2 linked regions of the Xenopus tropicalis genome follow. The protein of the gene in region 1 interacts with the protein of each later gene in a biochemical or structural test. Links are inferred from orthologs where the notes say so. Each region holds a gene or a part of one and is shown in the gene's direction. Other genes may lie near its edges.

The links.
Region 2: of the proteins of ifih1 (region 1) and trim65, one has a biochemical effect on the other in vitro, tested with the Homo sapiens proteins (2 studies listed by BioGRID, with this or other methods). The link is inferred for Xenopus tropicalis from reciprocal best matches to the Homo sapiens genes IFIH1 and TRIM65.

The regions. Positions count from the first base shown.
Region 1 is NC_030685.2:71,936,566-71,940,391, forward strand, and holds part of ifih1 (interferon-induced helicase C domain-containing protein 1), read left to right. Parts: intron 1-554; coding exon 555-772; intron 773-1,657; coding exon 1,658-1,774; intron 1,775-2,372; coding exon 2,373-2,496; intron 2,497-3,517; coding exon 3,518-3,745; intron 3,746-3,826.
Region 2 is NC_030686.2:44,878,992-44,883,319, reverse strand, and holds the start of trim65 (tripartite motif-containing protein 65), read left to right. Parts: upstream 1-1,230; 5' UTR 1,231-1,339; intron 1,340-1,444; 5' UTR 1,445-1,451; coding exon 1,452-1,907; intron 1,908-3,807; coding exon 3,808-3,903; intron 3,904-4,119; coding exon 4,120-4,328. UniProt on the Homo sapiens protein: E3 ubiquitin ligase that plays a role in several processes including innate immnity, autophagy or inflammation.

The DNA.
Region 1 (3,826 bases):
ATAGGTGGCCTTTGTGCTTAGTATTCAAGTGCTCAGTGCTAGATATTTATATAATGCTGCCAGCAAGAGTCATATAAACAGAGTCGGATTGGGCTGCCACGCCAGGGATCCCACGCACACCCCCAGGGGCCCACACCGCACACACACGCCCTCCCGCAGGGGCCCCACACCTTCTCCAAGCGCACATAAGTAGACACAATCGGGGGAGGATGACAGCTGGTATCGGGTCTGGACCAGAGGGGCCCACCAGATTTTTCCCTGGTGTCCAGCCGACCCAGTCTGACTCTGCTTATGAACAAAGAACATGGGTGCTTCTTCATTACCTGGTGCTGTGCATGTTAGAGGTTGCCAATGGTTTGAGCAACTATCCCTATTTGTGTCCTCTTCACTACTAACACAAATAAGGATACGTTTTGGAGAAGACCACCGAATAATTCACCTTTCTAATAGCCTCTCATTATATGAAATTCTGGGAAAACACTGGTATTATGGTACCATACAATGATGGCGGTTTTAATTAAAAAAACAATGTTTTTTTGTTTTTTTTCATGCAGATTTCTCCCTCATTATTATTGATGAATGCCATCACACTCAAAAGGATGCTGTGTACAATAATATCATGATCCGTTATATAAAAAAGAAAATGCAAAACAAACGCAACAGCAAGATGGAAAAGGCACAGGTTCCACTGCCTCAAATACTTGGACTTACGGCTTCGCCAGGAGTGGGAGGGGCCAAGAACATTAAAAAGTCAGAAGAACATATTCTGAGGGTAAAAGGTTTTTGTGTAATATGACTATGTAGCAAACTTTCCACTGAATGAAGAAGGAAACTAAATATGAGGACATCTCTAATAAGTGCGTACAGTTATCAGCTTATCAATTACATGACTTTATTGGCCCAACAGTGAGTGCCTAAAGGTTAAAACACCCCAAAATTATTCTGTTCTTACTTGCCAATTGTACAGAACTTTTATGGGCCTCATGCACCAAAGTAGGTGCAACAAGAAAATTGGAACACTAAGGGCTATAGTTATCATGCTGTGTAAAAAGTGGAGTGAAGCATTACCGGTGATGTTGCCCAGGGCAACCAATCAGCAATTAGATTTCAACAGTTAGAAAATCAAAGCAACGCATCTGATTGGCTGCTATGAGCAACATCACCGGTGATGTTTTACTCCACTTTTTATACAGCATGATAAATATACCCCTTAGCTACTATAGATAAGCGCAGAGTATGGTGGCATCCATCGTTAAGATGGACACCAGAACATTTTAGGAGCTTTGGTGAGTCCCCCTTCCTATGTGAAGTGGGCTAACTTTAGAAAAGCAACATAGATAAATGGTAAACAAGGAACAGTACAAACTGTACCAAAACATGTGATTGGTTGCTGTGGGTTACAAGAAGGGCATTCTTTGCAACTTTAGGGCATCTCCACTGGACCACAGAGAAGCAGGTTCTTTCTACAACTGTCAACATGGAACTTGAAAGACAGGGTGAAGATTAGTTCTCATTGGAGAATCCTCTTGTATTTGTCAATAAGAGCAGGGGGTGCAGTGGGATTGTTCATTGGGAAGTTTGTATCACATTTATCAGTAACGCCCAACAGAAGGTTGGTGTCTAGTAGCCAATAACAGCCTTGTCTTTGCTATATCAGATATGCGCAAACATGGATGCTTTCAAAATCATGACCGTGCAAGAAAATGCAGAGCAGCTAAGAAAGCAAGTGAAAGATCCATACAAGGAGGTCAAGATTTCAGATGAAAAGAAGAAGGTACGGATTTGTCTTCATTTAAAAGACTGTCAAATTGAGGACATTTAGGAAGCGTTTGAGTTACCATGCCTTTCAGAAACTCTGCCTAAACAGAACCTTAGCACAGGAAAAAGCGACATAAATTCATTTGAACTGACATCCCCATTATTGGTATCTTGCCCTGGTTTCTATTGTAGTCTTCTTCCTATCATGATGTAGGTGTAAGTTCTGATGAAATACAATAGGAAGTATTTGGGTCACTGTGTCATTCAGAGCTTCTGCTTAAAAAGGACCCTTAACACACACACACAAAAAAAATCATTTGAACTGACATGCCTGTTATGGGTATCTTATACTGGTATTCTTCCTGTCACTTATAATGTCCGCAGAGATCTTTCATCTCTTTAAAGTGTGGTGGCTATAAAAATGTTTAACAAACCAGTTTTACAAATAGGTGTTTAGGGGGCTCATTTAAGAACATAGTTATTCAAGTCGAAACCCTATTCCCAAAACTTTGGAATAGAAAAACATCTTTACCACTGTGGTCCAGGCAATGTTTAGAAGGAAATGCATCCTTGTGCTGCTTGAGTTTTCTTATGATGTGTGATTTTTTTTTTAGAATCCATTCGGAGACAAATTAAAAGAGATCATGGGAAAGATTGAGGAGTATAGCAAGCTGTATCCCACATCTGACCATGGAAGTCAGTCTTATGAGCAATGGGTTATTCAGACAGATAAGACAGGTACGGTACACCCCTACAGAAAGAAATAAGAATAATCACTCTGGAAAAGAGGACATAAAAGTTCCCCAAAACCTTATTTGTTCCCCCAAGCTCTACAAAGCAGGTATTCCACACCTGATTGCTATTGCAAGAGTATTCTCCATTGAGAATCATTCCTACCAGTGCTACATCAGTCATGTCACTGTTACTTAATATCGTTAAATTACAGTGTATGGGCCTGATTCACTAAAGGGCGATAAAAATTATCGCACGCTTTTTCGCGTTAAAAAACGCAAAATAATTTGCGCGCGATTCACCATAGTATTATCGCGTGCGAAAAATCGCCATTTTCGCATGCGGTATTTCTCGCACTAGTTTTACCGATTTGCGTTAATTTCCGTGCTGAAAAGAATACGATCGCATGATTCACTATAACTTTTGCGCGCTAAATATCGCATTCGGCTATGCGAAAATTAACACCTACTACAAAATTTGCCACGCAAAACTTCACCGCACATCCAAAAATTGATACAAGTGTCAAAAAATAATAGTCACGGGCAACAATTTTTTTGCCCGCACAACATTTTTGCCGTTTCGTGGATCTTTCGAAAGATTTGCTAATTTTTCACTAAAGAAACCAGAACACATTTGCTCATCACTAGCAGTTACTATTTATAAGCATCTACTATTTATATGATACCATTTATATGTGGCTAATATTTATATACACCATTTATATGCGGCGACAATATTTATACACTATTTCTATGCTACCATTCATATGCGGCGATTATTCGCGTAATTTAGCGCATGTACCGGCAAATACCGCATTGAAATAGTCTTTCGCGAGTTAAATAACGCATGCAATATCGCGCGTAAAAAAGCGCAAGTATGCTTATAGTGAATCGTGCGAAAAAACGCCAAAATTAAGCCGCGGTAAAAATTTTAGCGCACAATAAAAATAGCGCACGTTTTATCGCCCTTTAGTGAATCAGGCCCTATATGTCTTAACCCGAATTTCTTTTTTCTGCTTTGAATCCAGCTGCCAAAGAAGGAAAACGCAAGGAACACGTGTGTGCTGAACATCTAAGGAAGTACAATGACGCCCTGCAGATCAATGACACCATTCGCATGACCGACTCCTTAATACATCTTAGGAAATTTTATGAGGAGGAGAAAAAAAGGAAAATTCTGTTAAACGAGGGTTCAGAGCACGTGGCGCCATTGAACATTGAGGAAACAGACAGATTTCTTATTGACTTATTTTACGGTATGTTAATACGTTATGTTAATATGCAAAATATTTGGCAACAACAGCTTAGTTAATAAAATGTGTGACATGATGTGTAGG
Region 2 (4,328 bases), on another chromosome or scaffold:
CATTACAAATCACATAAAACCTATCAAAAATTAAATAGTAGCCACTGGCATTACCCATCCCATACCCACTGTAAGCAGCAGTCCTGCCCTGCTTTATGGCTGAGATTCTAGCTATCTGTATAACAGAGCATTCTGTCACAGTGGCACAGATCCTATCTGATCCCCCCCATTGTAAGCAGCAGTCCTGCCCTGCTTTATGGCTGAGATTCTAGCTATCTGTATAACAGAGCATTCTGTCACAGTGGCACAGATCCTATCTGATCCCCCCATTGTAAGCAGCAGTCCTGCCCTGCTTTATGGCTGAGATTCTAGCTATCTGTATAACAGAGCATTCTGTCACAGTGGCACAGATCCTATCTGATCCCCCCCATTGTAAGCAGCAGTCCTGCCCTGCTTTATGGCTGAGATTCTAGCTATCTGTATAACAGAGCATTCTGTCACAGTGGCACAGATCCTATCTGATCCCCCCCATTGTAAGCAGCAGTCCTGCCCTGCTTTATGGCTGAGATTCTAGCTATCTGTATAACAGAGCATTCTGTCACAGTGGCACAGATCCTATCTGATCCCCCCATTGTAAGCAGCAGTCCTGCCCTGCTTTATGGCTGAGATTCTAGCTATCTGTATAACAGAGCATTCTGTCACAGTGGCACAGATCCTATCTGATCCCCCCCCCATTGTAAGCAGCAGTCCTGCCCTGCTTTATGGCTGAGATTCTAGCTATCTGTATAACAGAGCATTCTGTCACAGTGGCACAGATCCTATCTGATCCCCCCCCCCCATTGTAAGCAGCAGCCCTGCCCTGCTTTATGGCTGAGATTCTAGCTATCTGTATAACAGAGCATTCTGTCACAGTGGCACAGATCCTATCTGATCCCCCCATTGTAAGCAGCAGTCCTGCCCTGCTTTATGGCTGAGATTCTAGCTATCTGTATAACAGAGCATTCAGTTACAGTTGCATTGTTGATATCACTGTAGGATTTTGAGTGCTAAGCAACAAGAAAGCTCAGCAAGGCTATGGAATAAAACCAAAGCACTTTTATGACATATTTATTGACAGAAGCACTGATTAGAGTTGGATACAATTACAGGGCTAATAAAATAACATTGAAATGACAATACACCTTTAAAGACTAATTGAATGAAATGCCTTTACTCAGGCAGCTCCTCCACTCTGTATTCCACCCTCTCCTCTTGTGTTTCAGCCAATCCTGTCTCTCCTCCTCTAGCCCCTCCCTCCAGCTGCTTTACTCCCGTTTGCTTTCGGTTTCCCAGACACTTCTCTGGTCTGATCTCCTCCCTGGATTACTGCACGACTGCCAGCCCTGCACCTGAGTAGAATGTAAGCTCTTGGGGCCACACATTTCTCTTATATTGATTTTCCTTAGCACTACACAGTACTTGTTGAGGCATTTTATATGTCAGTGTAAATATTCTGTCTTTCCAGCCTGAGAATGTCGGACCCCGGTTTCACGTCGAATGATATCCGAAGCAGTTTAAAGTGCAGCATTTGCCTGGAATTGTTCACCATGCCGGTGTCTACGGCCTGCGGGCACAATTTCTGCCAGAAATGTATCAATGATCACTGGGATCAAGAGGTTCGGAAGCAGATTCCCTACTCCTGCCCACGGTGCCGGAAGATATTTCCTGAGCGCCCCGAAACCCCCAAAAATGTGGATCTCAGCGACTTGGTTGAGACAGTAAGGGCTTTGGAGAAGCAGAACGTATCCCAAGAGCCGGAAATTCAAAGGAAGAGAAACGTGTGTCCAGCTACAAAGTGTCAGCGGCACAACCGCAACTTCGAGTTGTTCTGTTGCACAGAGAAGCGCTGCGTCTGTTCCAAATGCTACATGGTGGAATGCCGCAATCATACACTGGAGTCCATTGAGGAGAAGAGACAGATGGAAGAGGTAAGAGATGGCACCTTCAAAACTTACCATGGGCCCTATAGTCTTAAAGGGAAACTCCACCCAAAAAAGTAAACATAATTTCAAACAACTTTTCAATATATATCAATTAAAAAATATGCAGCCTTTCCATGATGATATGGTTGGAACAGTTCCCTAAGCCCCGCCCCCTGTTCCCCTGCTGATCTGGCTGGCTACTTTGTGACTCAAAAAAAATGTAACAGTAGTCGCCTGTCCTCAGCTTACCTTCAGCCTGCATCCTCCCAATCCCACAATTCCTTGCACACATGATGTCAATAAGGAGAGGAACATCACAGTGCAATGCATTGTGGGTTATGTAGTTCCTGCATGCTGTCTGTAAGCTGTGGAGAAGTTGATACAATTTGTAACATCAGTGTTATAGTCCCTCCTCCCCTGCCAGGATTCCAAATGATGCAGAAAGAGAAGAACTGTTTTGCAGCTGGATTTCAGCATATACAAATGGTTTTTATTCATACTTTTTGGAGGAGCAGATTACAGGTATATTAGGGATTTCTATGTTGGTGGGACTTCTACTGGTCTCTAAAAAAAAATGGGTTTAATCAAGGTGCATGCCAGTACAGTGGGTAGCGTTGATGCTTTGTATCACATATTGATTCTCATCAAGGTCTTTCCAGAAGAAGATTGTCTACATGGGCTTCCTCCAAGGCCAGAATTTGTATAAAATCCACATAAGCCCATACCTAGAGCATTCCTAAAATAAGTATATCTTCATTTCATCTACATGGGCTTCCTTCAAGGCCAGGATCAGTATAAAGGCCACATAAACCCATACCTAGAGCATTCCTAAAATAAGTATATCTTCATTTTATCTACATGGGCTTCCTTCAAGGCCAGGATCAGTATAAAGGCCACATAAACCCATACCTAGAGCATTCCTAAAATAAGTATATCTTCATTTTATCTACATGGGCATCCTTCAAGGCCAGGATCAGTATAAAATCCACATAAGCCCATACCTAGAGCATTCCTAAAATAAGTATATCTTCATTTCATCTACATGGGCTTCCTTCAAGGCCAGGATCAGTATAAAGGCCACATAAACCCATACCTAGAACATTCCTAAAAAAAAGGCTGTCTTCATCGCATCTACATGGGCTTCCTTCAAGGCCAGGATCGGTATAAAGGCCACCTAAGCTCAGGCCTAGAGCATTCCTAAAATAAGTCTGTCTTCATGGCATCTATATGGGCTTCCTCCAAGGCCAGGATCTGTTCTAACAATGTGACTCAGCATCTCCCAAACTCTTTTTTCATTGGGAAAGAGAGGGAGGTTTGTTTTTATTAAGGGCAACCCCGTCAGTGTTTCCCTGGCGCAGGGCATCTACAAGGGCTTCCCCAAGGCCAAGATCTGTATAAAGGCCACATAAGCCCATACCTAGAGCATTCCTCCTAAAAGAAGTCTGTCTTCATTGCATCTACATTGGCTTCCTTCAGGATCTGTATAAAGGCCACCTAAGCTCAGGCCTAGAACATTCCTAAAATAAGTCTGTCTTCATGGCATCTATATGGGCTTCCTCCAAGGCCAGGATCTGTATAAAGGCCACATAAGCCCAGGCCTAGAGCAGAACAAGTTTGGGAAGGTCTGTGGGAGGCAGATAATGGAAAAGGTATGAACACCACTGACTTGAACTTTGAACCCAAACTGGGCTCCAGGCTGCCACTGCTCCATGCTCCCCTAGTGGGAAGGAGGGCACAGTTTGGGTACAGGGTTATTTAATTAGCAAGTGACAGTCAGAGAACACTATAAAGGAGCAAGATGTACCTCTAAAAGACATAGCGGCAATCCACATTGCAGTATCTTTATTATCACATTATGGTTTGTGATGAGAACTTTTGATATATTATTATCCACCCTTTGCTTTAGGAGCAGCTTAGGAAGTCTTTACTTGGCAATGCCAATCAAAAGGAGGAAATACGGGCAGCGATTGAAAAGCGCCAGCAGCTCACTGGAAATATTAAAGTAAGTAACACCTTAAGCGCTTGTTACGGGCGTATAGTTATGGAAAATAATATGGCAGCTTGGAGACACATGTATAAATACAGATATATAACGAAGGAATATTCCAGCCATACAAAAAGCAATGGCCTTATGTAGTACTATACAAGAGGAAACCACATGGCAGCTCCCACCCATGAACATAAAGTAAATAAACATTATCTCTTACCTCTTGTGCAGACGTCATGTGACAAGATGGAGACCTGTATCTTGGCTAAGTTTGAGGAGCTGAGCAATGTTCTTGAGGTGTGCTGTACCATGTCCATAGAGACATTACGGAGTGAAGAGGGGGTAGCCTTGGCTAAAGCGGAGCAGAGTCTGGAGCAGCTGCAAAAGCATTTGGAACGAGTGGAGCAACATGAAAACGAAGCGGAACAGTTGTGCCAAAA